Oryctolagus cuniculus: one gene and its partners. The protein of the gene in region 4 purifies or fractionates together with the protein of the main gene of each other region. This does not show direct contact. Links are inferred from orthologs where the notes say so. Each region holds a gene or a part of one and is shown on either strand. Other genes may lie near its edges. The genes, in order: KLC4, KLC3, KLC1 and KIF5B.

Evidence for each region.
Region 1: the proteins of KIF5B (region 4) and KLC4 purify together in Homo sapiens (affinity purification with mass spectrometry; 4 studies listed by BioGRID and IntAct, with this or other methods). This does not show direct contact. The link is inferred for Oryctolagus cuniculus from reciprocal best matches to the Homo sapiens genes KIF5B and KLC4.
Region 2: the proteins of KIF5B (region 4) and KLC3 purify together in Homo sapiens (affinity purification with mass spectrometry; 3 studies listed by BioGRID and IntAct, with this or other methods). This does not show direct contact. The link is inferred for Oryctolagus cuniculus from reciprocal best matches to the Homo sapiens genes KIF5B and KLC3.
Region 3: the proteins of KIF5B (region 4) and KLC1 purify together in Homo sapiens (co-immunoprecipitation; 11 studies listed by BioGRID and IntAct, counting the BioPlex papers as one, with this or other methods). This does not show direct contact. The link is inferred for Oryctolagus cuniculus from reciprocal best matches to the Homo sapiens genes KIF5B and KLC1.

The regions. Positions count from the first base shown.
Region 1 is NC_091436.1:126,954,330-126,959,057, reverse strand, and holds part of KLC4 (kinesin light chain 4), read left to right. Parts: intron 1-777; coding exon 778-859; intron 860-1,744; coding exon 1,745-1,964; intron 1,965-2,409; coding exon 2,410-2,497; intron 2,498-3,561; coding exon 3,562-3,663; intron 3,664-3,863; coding exon 3,864-4,037; intron 4,038-4,373; coding exon 4,374-4,473; intron 4,474-4,670; coding exon 4,671-4,723; intron 4,724-4,728.
Region 2 is NC_091449.1:11,490,921-11,496,333, reverse strand, and holds the start of KLC3 (kinesin light chain 3), read left to right. Parts: upstream 1-1,817; 5' UTR 1,818-1,939; intron 1,940-4,269; 5' UTR 4,270-4,277; coding exon 4,278-4,535; intron 4,536-4,683; coding exon 4,684-4,914; intron 4,915-5,044; coding exon 5,045-5,114; intron 5,115-5,326; coding exon 5,327-5,413. UniProt on the Homo sapiens protein: Kinesin is a microtubule-associated force-producing protein that may play a role in organelle transport. Plays a role during spermiogenesis in the development of the sperm tail midpiece and in the normal function of spermatozoa.
Region 3 is NC_091451.1:46,444,616-46,449,343, forward strand, and holds part of KLC1 (kinesin light chain 1), read left to right. Parts: intron 1-2,611; coding exon 2,612-2,699; intron 2,700-3,249; coding exon 3,250-3,351; intron 3,352-4,728. UniProt on the Homo sapiens protein: Kinesin is a microtubule-associated force-producing protein that may play a role in organelle transport. The light chain may function in coupling of cargo to the heavy chain or in the modulation of its ATPase activity.
Region 4 is NC_091444.1:102,451,984-102,456,711, reverse strand, and holds part of KIF5B (kinesin-1 heavy chain), read left to right. Parts: intron 1-1,293; coding exon 1,294-1,482; intron 1,483-2,097; coding exon 2,098-2,215; intron 2,216-2,777; coding exon 2,778-2,839; intron 2,840-2,936; coding exon 2,937-3,046; intron 3,047-4,728. UniProt on the Homo sapiens protein: Microtubule-dependent motor required for normal distribution of mitochondria and lysosomes. Can induce formation of neurite-like membrane protrusions in non-neuronal cells in a ZFYVE27-dependent manner.

The DNA of each region.
Region 1 (4,728 bases), on a different chromosome or scaffold from region 4:
AAGTGCAAGAGGAATTCATAGGAGGTAGGCCCCTGAGGCCGGAATGATTAAAGGATTCCCAGAGGGGGCCGGGGACAGAGATGGGTATGCTTTAGGTTGAATTTCTCATTTGACAAGGGTTTGGGATGATTCTTGAAGGATGACAAGGAAGAGAGACAGGGGAGTCAAGCTAAGGCTCCAGGGCTGCACTACTGGTCTACCCCTGAGAGAGTCAGGAGACGCTTTGCATGGGACACACTGGTACAGGGGGCAGAGGGCAGGGGGCAGGGGAAAGGGCTGGAGGTCGCTGCTTAAAGCTGCCGTTCCTGATGGGAAAAGCAGATTCTCCCAGTGTGGAAGTAGGTTGGACAGTGAGGGGTGCTCACTATGTCCGAAGCAGGCAGTGGCAGATGATGGGTGTGAGGCTGAGCGAGACACCTTGGGCATGTGTCAGTAAGGTCAGAGACACTGTCCGGCCTCAGGAGAGACAGAACAGACATATAATCAGAGTAAACACCAGGCATCAGCACAGGGCTATAATTACAAGAGTGGAGCAGGAGAGAGGGAGGCTGGGGAGTGGAGGTAGTAAGGAAGGGAACTTTCTGGATGTGAAGGAAGGGGAAGTCGTGGGAATTTGTGCCAAGCATCTCTGGCTTTTGCCAACAAAAGAGGCCTGAGTGTGGCTGGGCCGGATGCTGGCCTTCCCAGGGCAGAGGCCCCTCTCAGTGACTTTGTGGCTTAGAGGGGCCCTCACACCGGCGCTATCTTGGCCCTCACATGCTACTGCTTCCCTTCCAGGAGGAAAAACAAGGGGATGCCACCAAGGATTCTCTGGATGACCTCTTCCCCAACGAAGAGGAGGAGGACCCTAGCAACGGCTGTGAGTCTGCCTCAGAGCTGGAGGGGAACGAGGGGCAGCAAGAGGCTGCTCTGGGCCCAGCCCTGTGCTCAGGATGTCACCATCCAGAAACAGGTTCTCCCCTCTCTCTGGAGAGGGGGCAGGGCTGGGCTAGTCCTTTAATTTTCTCAGCCTCCTCCTTATCATCAATGTTTATTAAGCGATATGTGCCGAGCACTAGGAATAGCAAGATGAAAATAACACAGGTCTCACTGGTGATGTGTTCACGGTCTATGGGGGAATGAACCTGAGATGGGAAGAGCATGAGTTCTTCAGGGGAAGGAACCAGCTCTTTCTTATCTTTGTGTTCCTGGGATAGCCCCTGGCTCAGGCTTATTATTTTTTTTAAGATTTTTTTATTTATTTGAAAGGCTATGAGAGAGAGAGGTAGGGAGGGAGGGAGAGAGAGAGGGGAATTTTCCATCTGCTAGTTCACTCCCCAAATGACTGCAACTGTCAAGGCTAGGCCAGGTCAAAGCCAAGAGCCTGGACATCTATCTGGATCTCCCAAGTATTTGGGCTATATTCTGCCACTTTCTCAGGAGCTGGATCAGAAGTGGAGCAGCTGGGACTCAAATTGGCACTCATGTGGGATGCCAGGGTCATAAGTGGTGGCTTAACCCTTTATGTCACAACACTGGCCCCGCTCAGTCTTATTGAGTGAATGCATCACTGGGAACAAATAGAACTGTAGTGGGCACAGGTTCCAGGGAGCAGGTAACAGAATAGCAGTGGAGGCTCTGGTGTCAGTAGAGAGAGTCTGGTAGGGGCAGGTGCAGGTATGGAACAAGACATAGAGGGGAGGTCTGGGGTGGGAGAGGAAGAGTCCTCCAGGAAATCTGCTGTTCGTTTTCCGGGCTGGCTCAGTGTCGCGTGGCCAAGGCGCTGCAGCCGCCCAGCAGGGTGGATATGAGATCCCAGCAAGGTTGCGGACGCTACACAACCTGGTGATTCAGTACGCAGCCCAGGGTCGCTATGAGGTGGCTGTGCCGCTCTGCAAGCAGGCGCTGGAGGACCTGGAGCGCACATCTGGCCGTGGCCACCCTGATGTCGCCACCATGCTCAACATCCTCGCCTTGGTGTATCGGTGAGCACCGCCCCCCCGCCCCCCAGACTCCTCTCCCTCTTTGGCACCCATGCCTCCTCTCCACTGGGTGCCTCTTCTCCCTGCTGGGCTTCCAGGATATTCCCCACTGGGTACCATGCCAAGTCCTTGACCTCAGACGATACTCATCTCGCAGGCTGTTTGCTGCTCTGGTCTCTCCTGGAGGGAGCCTCCACACACACACACACATACACACACACCACACACACCCTAGCTTCCTGTGGCCTCCTCGGAGGACAACAGTGCTCTGCATCCTGGTCTGGATGTATCAGTGGAGCCCTCTCACCATCCACACCAGGCCTCTTGTCCCCATGGGTGTCCCCGATCTCTAAATATACCTCAGTCCTCCCCAGGGGAGGGAGAGTGGGAAGGAGATGACTTGGGAGCAGAGGTCAGGGTAACCGTTGTCACCTTTGGCCTCTTCCAGGGACCAGAATAAGTATAAGGAAGCTGCCCACCTGCTGAACGATGCCCTCAGCATCCGGGAGAGCACTCTGGGCCGGGACCATCCTGCTGTCAGTGCTCCTTGCCCTCTGCCCTCTGCCCTCTGCCCTCTGCCGTTGTTCTCTTAGCTTGTCCGCACGCTGCCCTTGGTTCCCTCACTCGGATGCTCAGGAAGGAGGCACAGGACCTCCTTTCTGCCAGCACCATCCGGTATCTCCGTGGCTCTCAATTCTCTGCAGTTCAGTTACTTGCTTTTTATAATTAATATTCTGAAATTTAATTCATAGACAATGTATCCTACTTACAAGAAAGTTAATATGACACACTAGTTAATATGAAAGAGAAGCAAGGGAAGTAATTTATGAGAACAATAAATTTAACGTAGTATGCTAAGATAAAAATACAACACAAGAATAACTGTGTTGAGTACAACAGTGCTAGAAGACATAATAAAGTAGTGTGATATATGAGGAATAACTCTGGATTTAGAAGTAGACCAGTAGGTGCTTCTGTGTAAGAAGTAAGAGAAAAATGAGACAGAAGTGTGAGTACATACCTGATTAGAAGGCAGTGTTATAATAAGTAATCACAGGCCAGACTGATTTGAATATGAGAAGAAAACAGAGATATAGCCTCATAAGTAGGGCCAGTAGGCCAAAACAAATGATAGATTGTTAAAGTGGAAAAAATGGGAAATAAGCTCCTTTTTTAAGGTATGTGACAGCAGGGATGATGGGTCTCAGAATACACGACTCCCATCTTGATATCCCACCAAAAGTCAAAGTCAAAGCTTGCTGTCTATGTTTGAGTGCCAGGCAGGACGTTCAGAAGTTGGCATAGTCGCCCTGCACATGCAGAACATCTGTTGTGTTCTCACCTCCTCAGGGGTAATAGTACCCTCAGTCTTCATGGCAACCCCAAAACAACACTCCAGAAATTTCTAGAAGTCCCCCTAGAGGGCGGTACAACACCCTCAGAGCCCCGGAGCCTTCCTCCCCTCAGCTTCTGAGTGTGTCAGTGAGAGTCCACCTCTCTTGGTGTTGTGCCACGTGGGGCCCTGCTGTGCGGCGGTGGGGAGGGGACCTCAGGTTCTCCTGGGTCCTGCACGTCTGATGGGCCAGGTCTGTCTTCATAGGTGGCTGCCACACTCAACAATCTGGCTGTGCTCTACGGCAAAAGGGGCAAATACAAGGAGGCAGAACCGCTGTGCCAGCGAGCACTGGAGATCCGAGAGAAGGTACCCGAGCCTCTCTCCATTCGTCCCCATCCATCACTGTGACCCTTCCCCCATGTCAGTCTACCCTTGTCCTTCACTTCTTCCCCTTACCCCCACCCCCACGCCCAGCCCTGTTTCCTCTCCCTCATTCCCTTCCCTCTGCTCCCTGTGTGTGTGAACCATCATTATGGCCTTTTGTCTGCCCCTTTGCTCCCCTCCAGGTCCTTGGCACTGACCACCCAGATGTAGCAAAGCAGCTAAACAACCTGGCCCTTCTGTGCCAGAACCAGGGCAAGTATGAGGCCGTAGAGCGCTATTACCTGCGAGCACTGGCCATCTATGAGGGGCAGCTGGGGCCGGACAACCCGAATGTAGCCCGCACCAAGAACAACCTGGTAAGGGATGAAAGGACACGGGGTGGAAGGAGGGGGCGGGGGAGGCCACCTGGCTCCTGGAATTGGCCAGAAGCACTGGAATTGGCATGCCACTCTCATCCACCGTGTGCCCGTCTCTGGGGCTGCCTTTGGGACTGAAGGAGCTGCTTCAAGCCAGCGGCAGAAGTGCCAGAGCCTCTTGGGAGTGGAGTGGGGATACCTTTGACCCTGCTGCTAGAATAGGAGGCCTTCTGGGGAAAGTCAGAGAGACAGCAAGAAGTGGACGCCCCTGAGCCCGGCAAAGACCTTGTCTCCCTCCATCTCTTGCTCCTGTGCTTTGGCCTTCCTGCCTCCCAGGCTTCCTGTTACCTGAAGCAGGGCAAGTATGCTGAGGCCGAGACGCTGTACAAAGAGATCCTGACCCGAGCCCACGTGCAAGAGTTTGGGTCTGTGGATGGTGAGTGGTGTGGGCCTGGGGAGGGGGCTGCAGGGAAGAAAAGAAATGCCCATGGAAGGTGGGGGGTTAAGATCACGGTGGTTCCGGGGTTGGGGGAGGAGACCCCTTTCGCCCAGCAGTGTCAGCCTGTGGGTCCTGGCTCTCACAGACTGTCTGGCTATGTTCTCTAACCTCCCCACTCCATGTGTCACCCCCAGACGACCACAAGCCCATCTGGATGCATGCAGAGGAGCGGGAGGAAATGAGCAAAGTGAG
Region 2 (5,413 bases), on a different chromosome or scaffold from region 4:
CAGGAACAGCATCCCGGTCTCCCACGCGGGTGCAGGGGCTCCGCTGCTTTCCCAGGTGCATTAGCAGGGAGCCGGATCGGAAGTGGAGCCTCCTCGTGGGATGCTGGTGTTGGATTCGGCAGCTTAACCCACTGTACAACACCAACAGCCGACTTTAAAAAAAAAATTATTTTATTTATTTGAAAGAGTTAGAGAGAGAGGTAGAAACAGAGGGAGAGAGGGCTTCCATCTGCTGGTGCACCCCCCAGATGGCTGCAACGGCCGGAGCTGCGCCGATCCGAAGCCAGGAGCTTCTTCTGGGTCTCCCACGCGGGTACAGGGGCTCAAGGACTTGGGCCATCTTCTACTGCCTTCCCAGGTGCATTAACAGGGAGCTGGATGGATGGGAAGTGGAGTGGCCGGGACTAGAACTGACGCCCGCATGGGATGCCGGCACTTCAGGCCAGGGCTTTAACCCGCTGCACCACAGCCGACTTTGTAATGGGGGAGAAGACGGAACTGATAATAAAACATTACACAGTTAGGGCCTGCGCCACGGCTCACTAGGCTAATCCTCTGCCTGCAGTGCCAGCACCCCGGGTTCTAGTCCCGGTTGCCCCTCTTCCAGGCCAGCTCTCTGCTGTGGCCCGCGAGTGTAGTGGAGGATGGCCCAAGTGCTTGGGCCCTGCACCCCATGGGAGACCAGGAGAAGCACCTGGCTCCTGTCTTCGGATCAGCGCAGTGCCGGCCGCGGCGGCCATTGGAGGGTGAACCAACGGCAAAGGAAGACCTTTCTCTCTCTCTCTCTCTCTCTCTCACTAACTCTGTCAAAAAAAAAAAAAAAAAAAAAAAAAAAAACCAAAAAACTGGAATCAAACTTGAACCCAGGGGCTGGTGCTGTGGCATAGCAGGTTAAATCTCTACCTGCAGTGCCAGCATCCCACATGGGCGCCAGTTCAAGTCCGGCTGCTCCACTTCCAATCCAGCTCCCTGCTAATGCACCTGGGAAAGCAACAGAAGATGGCACAAGTGCTTGGGTCCCTGAGGCCACACAAGGAACCCAGAAGACGCTCCTGGCTCCTGGCTCTGGCCTGGCCCAGCCCTGGCTGTTGCAGCCTTTTGAGGAATGAACCAACAGCTGAAAAAAATCTCTCATTCTATCTCTCCTCTTTCTCTGCAGCTCTGCCTTTCAACTAAATAAATCTTTAAGATTACTGTAACAGGGACCAGCACTGTGGCATAGCGGCATCCCATATGGGCGCTGGTTCAAGTCCCGGCTGCCCCACTTCTGATCCAGCTCCCTGCTAATGCACATGGGAAAACAGCAGGAGATGGCCCAAGTGTTTGGGCCCCTGCACCCACGTGGGAGACCTGAAGAAGCTCCTGGCTCCTGGCTTCAGCCTGGCCCAGCCCTGGCCGTCGAGGCCATTTGGGGTGGAAATCTCCCGTCTCTCTCTCTGCCTCTCTGTAACTCCACCTTTTAATTAAAATATATAAATCATTTTAAAAGTATTGTAACAATAAAATAAAATGATGTGCTATATAAAATAATTTGAGGCTCTGAAAATATTTGTGAACAATATCAGGATGGGTGTGGGGTGGGGGTCGCGAGGGATGCCGCTAAGAAGGGGCCAGCAGGAAGGCTTCTTGGAGGAGGCGAAGTCTGCAGCCGGAGCGCAGGTTTCCCGGACGGCAAGCGTGGCCGCGGCCCTGGTTCCCGGAGGCTGCGCGCGCGAGTCCTGCGGGGCCTGAGCCGCGCGCCGACCCTCCCCTCCGGGGGCGGGGCCGGCCGCACCTGCGGGGGGCGGGGCTCCGGCCGCACCTGCGGGGGCGGGACTCCGGCCGCCCCGCCTTCCGGCGGAGCCGCCCGCGGCCCGAGACGCGGTCACAGCCGGGAGCGGCGGGGCGTGCGGAGCCTGCGGGACGCCGTCGAGCGGGGCGCGGAGCCGTCGGCTGTCCGGTGGGCGCGGGAGTCGCGGGAAGCCGCCCTGATGGGGCGCGGGGCCAAGGGGAGGGCTGGGATTGGCGCGCCCCTGGGCCCATTCGCCTGGCCACGGGGACGGGACGCGGGGCCCCTGGGAACTCCCTGCCCCGTCCCGGGGCTCCCTGGGGTCCGCAGGCCGGGCTGGGGCCGCGCCCGGTCCCCCAGGCGCAGGTAAACAGGAGCGGGGCGGGGCGGGGCCTAGGGGCGGGAGGGGCCCTCGTGACAGCGGGCGGCGGGGCAGCGTGCCTGGAGCTGGGCCGGGGTCGCGGCCTGCTGCCCGCCCGCGGTGGGTGCGACACGGTGCGTGACAGCGCGGGGGACAGCGGGAGGCCGGGCTGCGGGACGATGCGGGCGTCCGCACGGTGCGGTGAGCACGGGCGCGTCCCCTGCCGAGTGCGTGCAAGACTCGCCAGGTTAGGACATTGTGTTCTCCCACTCCCTTCTCGAAGTTTCCTCGCCGGCGTGGGGCTGTGCGTGTGCGCAGAACCCCGGGCGTCCCCCGTCTGTACGGAGCTGGGTGCAGACACGCGGGTCTCCCCGCTCGCATGACCACAGCTGTCCACACCACGGGCGCCCGCGGCTGCCAGTGGCGCTCCTCCCCGGTCAGGGACCATTGGCGCACGCGTGTTTGCAGCTGTGAGTGTGTGTGGCACAGAAGGCCGGGGGGGGGGCCCTCCTGGCCAGGGGTGGGGACGAGTTGGGGGGGGCGCCCACGGGGAACCGTGAGAGTGCATTTGGCAGGGTGAGTGTGGGAGGGGCCGGCCTGGAGGGGCTCTGATTCTGCAAGTGAGGAGGGTGGGGGAGATGAGAGTCATTTCAGAGGCCACACCTGCGTGTGGGCGTGTCTCCCAAGGGTGCGTGTGTTGCTGAGCGGAGCGCTCCCACGTGTGCACGCACATACACCTGATCTCTTCAGGGATGTGGGTGTGCGTCAGCGCCGACCTGTATGTATAACGAAAAAAAGTTTACGAATTTTTGTTTATCTGAAAGGCAGGGAGACTGACCATCCGGGAGAGGTGGCCCATCCACGCTGGTTCACCCTGCCAAACGGCCACAGTGGGCAGGCTGAAGCCGGGCACCTGGAAGTCCACTAGGGTCTCCTCCCTCGCGGGGGCAGGGGTCTAAGCACGCAGCCGGCCTCCGCTGCTTTCCCCCAGGCCATCAGCAGGGAGCTGGATGGGAGGTGGAGCAGCCGAGACAGGAACCGGCTCCCACATGGGACGCCGGCGTCTCAGACAGCTGTATAAGACGCTGTCTGTCGCATTGTGTGTGACGGAAGGAGAGCAGCGACTGTGTGTGGTGTGTTGTACAGGTCTGTAAGGGCAGGTGTGTGGGGCCGGTAAAGCCACCGCCTGCAGAGCCAGCTTCCCATATGGGCGCTGGTTCAAGTCCCTGATGCGCCACTTCCACTCTGGCTCTCTGCGAATGGACCTGGGAATAGCAGTGGAAGATGGCCCAAGTCCCTGGGCCCTTGCACCCGCGTGGGAGACCCGGAAGAGGCTCCTGGCTTTGTATCGGCCCAGCTCTAGCCATTGTGGCCATCTGGGGAGTGCACCAGCAGATAGAAGATCTCTGTCTCTCCCTCTCTCTGTAACTCTGCCTTTCAAATAAATAAATACGTCTTTAAAAAAAAAAAAAAAAAAGAGGCAGGTGAGTGTGTGACACTAGGAAGACCCCCGAGGCATCGCCAGCTGTCTCTGAGGCCTTGTCCCTCACATCACAACCCCAGGGAGTCCCGTGTGTGGGACCTCCACCCATTACCCCCGGCCGTGATGGCCAGTGACACCCATGGGCCGCACCTGTGTGTCTCAACAGGCCCTGGCTGAGCCTGTCTGTGGCACAGGGTGGAGTCCCTGTTCCCTCGGGGTCTGTCAAGGCCAATGCATTGTCCCCCTGGAAGTCTTTTCAACCCAGAGGCCTCCTCTGCTTCCGGCGCCCCAGCCTCCAGCCTTCTCCTCCCACCCCGCCCCAGCCCAGCCCAGCCCCAGTGGTCCGACTGGTTCCCAACAAAAACACCCTAAGAATGAGCTCACAGCGGCTGGGCAGCCGCCTCCACACGCCCCACCCACTTGCCCCGCAGCAGGGGGCCGCTGCACCCCGGGCAGCCAGATCCTGGCCAGGCACGGACCCCGGAGCGGGCCGGCTATGTGCCCAGCTTGGCTAACCGGGGGCTGTCCCGTAGGTGTAAGAGCAGGATGGGCAGGGCATGGCGGCGTGGCTGGGATGGATCAATGGCAGGGATCCTGCTGGCCCGGGAGACCGGGTGCCAGGGGCCTTGACATGAGCCCCCCACCCCCCTGCCCCAGGAGCAGCCATGTCCGTGCAGGTGGCAGCGCCCGGAAGTGCAGGGCTGAGCCCAGAGCGCCTGAGCCCTGAGGAGCTGATGCGACAGACGCGGCAGGTGGTGCAGGGGCTGGAGGCCCTGCGGGCCGAGCACCGCGGCCTGGCTGGGCGCCTGGCCGAAGCCCTGGCGGGCCCGGGGCCTGTGGCCGGCTCGGAGCTGCTCGAAGAAAAGCAGCAGGTGGTGAACCACTCGCTGGAGGCCCTGGAGCTGGGGCTGGGCGAGGCGCAGGTACCAGGGGCACTCGCGCCAGGGGGAGGGGTGGGCCCCTGAGTGAGGGTCCTGGGGAGCCTCTGGGGTCACCTGAGCCGCGCGGCAGAGTCTGGGGGCCCGGGGCAGGGCGGGTGGGATCCAGCCCCACGGCCCCCACCCCTCGCAGATGCTGCTGGCCCTGTCGGCGCACGTGGGCGCACTGGAGGCAGAGAGGCAGCGGCTGCGGGCGCAGGCCCGGCGCCTGGCCCAGGAGAACGCGTGGCTGCGGGAGGAGCTGGAGGAGACGCAGCGGCGGCTGCGGGCCAGCGAGGAGGCCGTGGCCCAGCTGGAGGAGGAAAAGGGCCACCTGGAGTTCCTGGGCCAGCTGCGGCAGTACGAGTCGCCGGCAGGGAGCCAGGTGCACACCCGCCTCAGACTCCACAGAGCCCCCGGGGGGCCCCGCAGGCTCCAGGGCAGCGCCCCCCAGACCTTGAGGCAGACTCGGTGCCCCCCCCCACATACACCTCCTTTTCCCGTCCTGCCCACAGCGGCCGGAGTCCCCCCCTCGCCGAGACAGCCTGGCCTCCCTGTTCCCCAGCGAGGAGGAGGAGCAGAGAGGTGGGTGTGGGCCCCAGGCATGTGGGGGGGGCATGGGGGGGCTAGGGCAGACACAGCAGGTGGCCGCTACCAGCAGGGTGATGGCAGGCAGGTGAGGCCGGGGCTGGGGAGCCAGGTGGGCTCTGCACCCCCGTCCCCAGGCCGGGACACCTCCCACGGGTCGGTCGGAGGCTGTTCTGGGGCCCGGGTGACACGGTGCCTGCCTCCCCCAGGCTCCGAGGCGGCAGGCGCTGCGGCGGCTCAGCAGGGCGGCTACGAGATCCCCGCACGGCTGCGGACCCTGCACAACCTGGTGATCC
Region 3 (4,728 bases), on a different chromosome or scaffold from region 4:
AGAGTGACAGAAAGCAGCCATGACAGCCAGAGCTGAGCCAGACTGCAGCCAGGAGCCAGAAACACGGATTCTGTCTGGGCCTCCCACACAGGAGGCAGGGGACCACGCGCAGGGGCCGTCCTCGGCTGCCTTCCCAGGCTACTTAGCAGGGAGCTGGACTGGAAGTGGAGCAGCCGGGCCTCAGACCAGTGCCCCGTATCACAAAAATGGCCCAGGGTTTATTGTTCACAGGGTCCACTTTGCTTTCATTTGGAATTTTGAGTTTCTTGGTGGGCTTGTGCTGGGCTTTATTTCTGAGATCCTGATTGGGCAGATCTGTAGAGGTCCAGGTGTCCAGCAAGTTCCAGGTGAGGTGGTGCAGCTGTCTGGGGCCGCACCTGAGAGGCAGGGCTGTGACCTGGTCGTTGGCGGGTTAATAGTCCCAAGAGTGTTAGAGCATGTCCCAAGTGTGTTAGAGCGTGTCCCAAGGATGTTAGTGCATGTCAGTTTCAGCAGTACTTACTGTAACTCGTCTTAGTTCTCAACACACTTTTAGGTAACTTTCTTTTTTTTAATGGTGTTACTAGTTTTTTTTTTTTTTCCTCACTTATTTGACAGGCAGAGTTAGAGAGAGAGAGAGAGAGAGAGACAGAGAGACAGAGAGAAGGGTCTTCCTTCCATTGGTTCACCCCCCAAATGGCTGCTACAGCCGGCGCTGCGCCGATCCGAAGCCAGGAGCCAGGTGTTTCTTCTTCCTGGTCTCCCATGCGGGTGCAGGGCCCAATCACCTGGGCCATCCTCCACTGCCTTCCCAGGCCACAGCAGAGAGCTGGACTACAAGAGGAGCAGCCGGGACTAGAACTCGGCACCCATATGGGATGCCAGCGCCACAGGTGGAGGATTAACCTAGTGAGCCATGGTGCCAGCCCCAGTGTTACTAGTTTTTTAAAACTTTGTTTCCTATTGCTTAGTTTCACAGAATGCTCAGAACAGCTTATGATGTATACCAGAGTGGTTGGAGAAGAGAACAGTACACGAGGCCCTGCGCTGTGCACTGTGGTAACCCCGCCCTGCGACCCAGCATCCCATGTTGGAGCGCCAGTTCGAGTCCCGGCTGCTCCACCTCTGATCCAGCTCACGCTGATGCTCCTGGGAAGGCAGCGGCCCCGCCACCCACATGGGAGACCTGAATGGAGTCCCAGGCTCCTGGATTCACCCTGGCCCAGCCCTGATCATTGTGGTCTCTTGGGGAGTGGACCAATGGATGGAAGATCTTTGTCTCTAATGAGTTAACTAAGCAAGAACAACAGCTATAACATACAAGCACTTGGGTAGAATTTGTGGGATTCAGAGGTTCTGCAAACCTTGTTAATCCTGCTGTGCAGGGCAGAGCCTTGCTGGGCAGCTGTTAGCTTTCAGTTGGGAATGTGTGTGGTAGGTCTCTGGAGCCAGTTTTGCAGCACGGCGGTGGTCGATGGCACACTTAACCCAGGATGCACTGGGGCTGCTGGTTTTTTTTTTTTTTTAAAGATTTATTTTTTACTTGAAAGTCAGAGTTACACAGAGAGAGGAGAGGCAGAGAGACAGAGAGAGGTCTTCCGTCCAGTGGTTCACTCCCCAATGTGCCACAATGGCTGGAAATGTGCCGATCCAAAGCCAGGAGCCAAGAGCTTCCTCCAGGTCTCCCACATGGGTGCAGGGGCCCAAGCACCTGGGCCATCTTCCACTGCTTTCTCAGGCCACAGCAGAGAGCTGGATGGGAAGTGGAGCAGCCGGGACCAGAACCGGCGCCCATATGGGATGCTGGCGCTTCAGGCCAGGGCGTTAACCCGCTGTGCCACAGCGCCGCCCCCTGTCTTTTTCTCTGTCTCTGTCTCTCTCTCTGAAGACTTATTTATTTGAGAGGCAGAGTTACAGAGAGAGAATGAGAGTGAGAGAGAGAGAGAGAGAGAGCTCTTCCATCTGCTGGTTCACTCTCCAAATGGCCACAACAGCCAGAACTGGGCTGATCTGAAGCCAGGAGCCAGGAGCTTCTTCTAGGTCTCCCATGTGGGTGCAAGGGTCCAAGGACTTGGGCCATCTTCCACTGCTTTCCCAGGCCATAGCAGAGAGCTGGATTGGAAGTGGAGCAGCCAGGGCACAAACCGGCACCCATATGGGAGGCCAGCCCTATAGGCAGCCCCCCTACTTAATTCTTACTTCACAGTGGTAAGGTAGCATAGTCAGAGTACACGTGGGAGGGCAGGGACCTGGGGAGGTTGGGCAGTGTGGAGGCCACGTGGTCGTTACCTGGGAGCCTGAGCTGAGTGCGGTCAGTCCTGTCTGATATCCACCTGCCCTCTGCTGCCGTGCCTGCCCCGTGTCGGCAGCCCCAGGACAGCCCTGCGTGGCCAGTGGTGCCCAGTGGTCCGGGTTGGGGGACCCAGGCGAGAAGTTTATGAGATCTGATTTTGTAGCTCACCTGGCTGCCAGTGCATTTAGTGATGGGTTTCCTTGCAGTCTTCCCTCCCATACATAAGAGTTTTTTTGTTTTAGTTTTAGTTTTTTGGTAACTGAAGCTTAACTTTTATGTTCATAGTTCTAAAATGATTTTTCAATGATGCAGCAGCACTCTGTGTGTTTTTCCATTTAGAGATCAGAATAAGTACAAGGATGCAGCGAATCTGCTCAACGACGCCTTGGCCATCCGTGAGAAGACCCTGGGCAGAGATCACCCTGCGGTTTGTATGCCTGGTTCTTCCCTTCTCCATGCATTTGATTTTCCCCAAGGACTTGTTTTATCCAACTCATTTTAATATTAAACTCAACAGGGAAGGCTTAGGAGCCGCCTGTCCTAGCGGTGCAGGTAGGAGGCGTCTCCCAGGGCTGGCCAGCGGCTCTGCTCTGGCATTTGCCCATGCACACGCAATCCCTTTAGAGCCACCACTCAGTGGACCACCCGCTCTGTGTTCTGATCATAAATCAAATTGCATGTACCTCTATAAATTTGTTCCTCAAGCATTTATATTTTTATTGAAATCTGTTGAGATTTGCATACAGATCTATTTTGGTTGGCTTTGTGGCTTCCAGGGGAATTAAAAAAATCATGTTGTTGACGTTGATTTGTTTACTGTCAGTGTGTGTTCCGCCGTGTTACTTGGTGTCATCTGTTCTGTGAGTTGCTGTCTTGTAACGGAAGTCCTCCTCCTCTCTGAGTACAAGTGAGTCTGTGATGTGTGAGTGCCCTCGTCCGGGTCTGTTGCTGTTCTTAGTGGCTTTCTGTACTGGCAGGTGGCGGCGACCCTGAACAACCTGGCTGTCCTTTACGGAAAGAGAGGGAAGTACAAAGAAGCCGAGCCTCTGTGTAAGAGAGCCCTGGAGATCAGAGAGAAGGTAGGCAGGAGAGCAGGATGCAGCATTCTGTGTTTAAAAGACATTTCAGAAAGTCTTATTTTTTTTTATAAATATTTATTTATTTATTTATTTATTTGAGAAGCTGAGTTACAGTGAGAGGGAGAGACAGAGAGAGAAGTCTTCCATCCGCTGGTTCACTCCCCAGATGGCTGCAACAGCCGGAGCTGAGCCAGTCTGAAGCCAGGAGCCTGGAGCTCCCACGTGGGTGCAGGAGCCAAGGACTCGGGCCATCCTCCACTGCTTTCCCAGGCCACAGCAGAGAGCTGGATGGGAAGTGAACAGCCAGGACTCGAACCAGCACCCATATGGGATGCTGGCACTGCGGGTGGAGCTCAGCCTACTGTACCACAGCACTGGCCCCCAGGCTGAAGTCTTATTTATTTATTTGAAAGTCAGAGTTACAGAAAAGCAGAGGCAGAGAGAGAGAGAGAGAGAGAGAGAGATCCTCTATCTGCTGGTTCACTCTCCAAATGGCTGCAATGACTGGAGCTGCACTGATCGGGAACCAGGAGCCTCCTCTGGGTCTCTTCTGCTGCTTTCCCAGGCCATAGCAGAGAGCCAGATGGGAAGCAGAGCAGCTGGGACTCTAACCGGTGGCGGCCAGCCAGCACTGTAGGCAGCGGCTTTACCCACTACACCACAGCGCTGGCACCAGGCTTAAGTCCTGAGAAGTGACTATTGTGTTTTGTCATTACTGAGTGTTTCCTGAAAATAGCTTGTTTAATAGGATAGAAAGCTGGGAAACAGGTGGATCAGACTCACCTGAGAGGGGTGTGTGCTAGAAAGGGCAGCCCTGCCGGCCGCGAGCAGGGGTCCTGACATCGCAGGTGTCACGGGGTCTGCTTGTCGGGAAGTTGTTCAGTTAGATGCAAATCCCCCAAGTGTGTTTATGGGGATAGAGACTGAAACCGTTATTCTCAGAACTGAAGATGAGCTAGAGTGTGGGTGAAGTCAGCATCGTGGCTATCCAGTTCTCTGCTACCTTTGGTGGTCGCCAGGAGTCAGAGCGGCGAGTGCTTGTGCCGGCAGCTCTGTGGCTGTGCGGGACGTTAGCAAAGTCGGCCGTCAGCTGCACAGCGAGTAACCACAGGCAGATTAGCTGGGCATTGTCTGCAGTTACTTATCAGTGACACTGAGAGATTGGCCACTTAGTTTTGGGCCATAATGGCAAAGAATAGGCAGAGGAAAAATGAGAAGAAGCTCATTATAAAATTGTACAGGTGATTTTCTTTTAATAATTTATTTTATTTATTTGAAAGAGTTACAGAGAGGGAGAAACAGAGAAGGAGAGAGATCTTCCATCCGCTGATTCACTCTGCAATGGCCGCAACAGCCGGGGCTGGGCCAGGCTGAAAC
Region 4 (4,728 bases):
ATCATGTTGGCTATCGGGGATGTTTTGACTCTCCATGTAAAATCTAGAAATCGGTTTGTTGACATCCACAAAATAGTTTACTGTGATTTTCATTCACCATATTGAGGAAGCAGTGACTGAATTTTTTCCTTTTTTAAAGTTTTATTAATTTATTTAAGAGGCAGAGTTACAGAGAGAGGGAGAGACAGAGAGAGGTCTTTAATCTCCTGGTTCACTCCCCAGATGGCCGCAACGGCCGGAGCTTGGCTCATCCTAAGGTAGGAGCCAGGAGCTTCCTCTGGGTTTCCCACATGGATGCAGGGGCCCAAGGACTTGGGCCATCTTCTGCTGCCTTCCCAGGCCATTGGCAGGGAGCTGAATTGGAAGTGGAGCAGCCAGGACTGGCGCTCATTTGGGATGCCGGTGCCACAAGCAGAGGCTTAACCCACTATGCTACAGCGCTGGCTGCAGTGACTGACTTTCATATATTAACCTTGTATCCTGCAACCTTGCTATCATGGCTTATTCGTTCCAGGAGTGTTTTTGTTTTGTCTCTGTTTTTGATTTTTGTAAGCAATCATATCTGCAACAACAGTTTTATTGCCTCCTATCCAAGATGCATATAAGTTTGACATTGAGTATTGGAGTTTTTTAATGAAATCTATAAAAGTCAAGGAATGTGCAATGGCCACAGCTCTTCCTTGTTATACTCAAAAGTCATCATTTCCCTACCACCCCAAACATCCTCTTGTTAAATTTTAAACTGAGGGGCTGGCGCTGTGGTGTAGCAGGTAAAGCCACCGCCTGCAATGCCAGCATCCCATACGGGCACTGGTTCGAGACCCACCACTGGCCGTAGTGGCCATTTTGGGAGTGAACCGTGGATGGAAGGTCTCTGTCCCTGCCTCTGCCCCTCTCTAACTCTGCCTTCCAAATAAATAAATGAATCTTGAAAAATAATTTTAGACTGAACTTGCACATTGTTGACAATGAATTTATGAAGATGTCTTGTGAAAAGGAAATGTAAAACTTGACAGAGGCAGAAGTCAGTCACTTTTTTTTTATTAGGTTTCCATTTATTTTATTTCCTCATAAGCCATGTATTAACATACCAAGTTTGAAAAAGTAGAAAGGCAAAAATTAAGCTCTGCTTCTATATCCTTTATTAAAAACGATAAAAAAAAAAAAACTAGCTCCAGCCTTTTTGTGAATGTTGAATAACTGAAGGTTCTGTAATGGTTTGAGAACTAGAGTCTAACTGGGAAGACGCACTGAACTTTCTGGCTTTACTTTTTATTTTACTTTCTCTCCCAGCAGCCTGAGGGAACTGGCATGATAGACGAAGAGTTCACTGTCGCCAGGCTCTACATCAGCAAGATGAAGTCAGAAGTCAAGACGATGGTGAAACGCTGCAAACAGCTAGAAGGCACACAGACCGAGAGCAACAAAAAAATGGAAGAAAATGAAAAGGAGCTAGCAGCATGCCAGCTTCGCATCTCCCAAGTATGTGTTACAGAACAAAGTATCCTCATTTTTTTTTAACAGCCACGTGGAAGTAAATCAGTATATTTTATTTATTATAAAAGCTTTCAGAAAAATGAGTCTCTAGAGTAACAATAAAATGTTAGTTTTCCCTGTACTACTACAGTGTGATAGTGCAAATGATTTAGTCGGGTTATAGCTGTCAGTGTGTGTGTACTAAGTATGGAAATGTACTAGAAAGATGCGAATGGTATGATTTTGGAGGACTCTAGAATAATTCCAAAGTGGAGAGTACTACCAAGGAACGGTTTCTGGCATTTTTGGCCACTCAGTGAGTGGGATCATTCCCCAGATAGAATCTGTGCAAGGAGGAGGAAGACTGTGATATTAGATGGAGAAAATTCTAAAAATACTGTCTCATATTTCAGCCTTTAGTCCCTTAGTTTGCACGTGGTAGAAGCTCTACGCATGAATAGTGTATTGATAAACTCTATCATTTTAAAATTTGACCCCCTCAACATGATACCTCTGCATATGTAATATACTTAGATATTACTGTACCTCCAGATATTCTTAACAACAAAATGTGTGTGTGAGGTTTTTCTCCTGTTCATATCAGTGTATTTCTTCCAAAAGCATGAAGCCAAAATCAAGTCATTGACTGAATACCTGCAAAATGTGGAGCAGAAGAAAAGGCAGCTCGAAGAATCTGTCGACTCCCTCAGTGAAGAACTAGTTCAGCTTCGAGCACAAGGTATTAGCTCCCAGTTTATGTTCTGTGTTAATCCTTCTTGCCTTTAGGTGATTGTAGTAAACTTGTATTCACACTGATAAAGAACAGTAGGAATATGGGTAACTTGGAATAGTAAACATCATATATTTTAAGTTGCCTTTGAAACATTTTAAAAAAATTGTGTTTGAATATATAAATGGCCAGTCTAGGAGTTTCCTGTAAGATTATGAAGTTGTTATGTGTGTGTGTGTGTGTGTGTATGAGGAGACTTAAAGATCTCTTGTATATAAACCTTAAAGTAGATTTAGAAACTAACTTCTTTGCCTACCATCCCTTTAACCCTCTGTTCTGGGGTTAGGCAAAGAAAAAACAATGCTTAATATCAGCACAAATATAGTAGTCAACGCGTTATTGAGCCTGGAGTGCAAGATTTACTTTGTGATATTTGGATAACTTAATTTTGAGTGTTTCTTGAAAAACCTATTTCTCATAAGACCCATTTGTCCCTTTGGCTTACATGATTGGTTTATATGAGGACTCTTTTAAGACTTTGTTCTTCTGCTTTCTTTCCCTAACTAAACAGAGAAAGTCCATGAAATGGAAAAGGAGCACTTAAATAAGGTTCAGACTGCAAATGAAGTGAAGGCAAGTTTGTTCTTAGATTGGATTCTGATGGCTTTAATACATTGTTACTGATTTTGATTAGTCTGACTCTAACATTCTTTCCCCTCAAACACTTTAGCAAGCCGTTGAACAACAGATCCAAAGCCACAGAGAAACCCATCAAAAACAAATCAGTAGTTTGAGAGATGAAGTTGAGGCAAAAGAAAAACTTATCACTGACCTTCAAGAGTAAGTATACTTTTCTTTTCTCTCACATATTTGAAACTAACTGCAAAAAATTCAGAGGAAATAATGTTACTAGTGGTCAGTATGTCCTTACTTGAAACCTGTTTTCAAGGAAATTCTATTTTTTGACTTGGAAAATAAAGAATTTTCACACTGTAGAGTAAAATTTTTAAAAAGTTCTGAAAGATTTTCTTAGGTTGTTTGCTCTAAATGCTAAGTTAAAAAAAAAAAAAGAGAGAGAGAGAGCCTCAGCTTAAACTCATTATTGCATTCTCCCTCAAATCATTTAACTTTTTTTTTTTAGATTGATTTATTTACTTGTTTATTTGCAAGGCGGAGTTACAGAGGCAGAGAGCGAGAGAGAAAGAGGTCTTCCATCCACTGGTTCACTCCCCCAAACTGGCCACAACAACTGGAGCTAGGCCGATTGGAATCCAGGAGGCAGGAGTCTCCTCTGGTTCTCCCACATGAGTGCAAGGGCCCAAGGACCTGAGAGTTGGATAAGAAGAGGAGCATCCAGGACTCGAACTGGTGCTCATATGGGATGCCAGCATTGCAGGCGGCAATCTTACCTGCTACACCACTGGGCTGGCCCGCTTAACTTCTATTTCTTTGTTTTTTTGATTCTTAACTGATAAAATTTTTATTAGAAATTAAGGGTTTAGAGGTTGGTTTTTGTTTTTTAATAGAAGTCGTCCTCTTAGTTTACCTAGAAGACATTTCTCTACTTCGGTAATCATGTTCACCTACATGGGATGGGTGTAATGATTTGAATAGAAACCAGAAGATGGCAACAACAAAACAGAAGTTTGGGGCATAGATCTAACTAGTACTTAACGAAAGCAGTAATAAGGATTCAAGGAAATGAAAGACATGGAAAAATGAAATCATAATTTTTATTTAAAACATGAAAAATATTGGATGACCAAAAGGTCCTATCTCTTTCTGCACCTATGGAGGACAGGATAACAGAAGATATTTTGAGTGTCTGAAAAATGAGATGATAGAGTTCAAAAAATTGGGACAACGTTTAGCCTTAGCAGTTAAACACCTGCGAGTCCCATATCCGAGAACCTGGCTTCAGTGCCCACCTCTTCCTGGCTCTAGTGTCTTACTTGTGTAGACCCAGTGTGACAGAGGTGAGAGCTCAGGTGGTTGGGATGCTGCACCCGCACTGGAGACCTGAACTGAGTTCCTAGCCCCAGCCATGGTGAACATCTAGGGAGTCAACTAGCAGGTGGGAGCTCTGTCTTTCTCTGTCTCTCAAATAAATACATTTAAAAATTAAAAGTGATAGGGAGCAGCATCGTGGCAGTAGTGGGTAAAGCCACCATCTGCAATGTCACTTCCTGTCCTGCCTGCTCTGCTTCCCATCCAGCTCCCTAATAATGGCCTGGGAAAGCGTTGGAAGATGGCCCGGGTGCTTGGGCCTCTGCCACCCATGTGGGAGAACCAGATGAAACTCCTGGCCCCTGGCTTCAGCCTGGCTCAATCCTGGTTATTGTGACCACTTAGGAAAGTGAACCAGTGGATGGAAGATCCTTATGTCTCTCCCTCTCTAACACTGACTTTCAAATATATGAATAAACCATAATCTTCCCCACCCCAAAAATATTAAAAGTGATAGGTATGGACAAGACCTTTAAAAATTTTTGTAATGACAGCCTTCAGAAAATTATGATGTT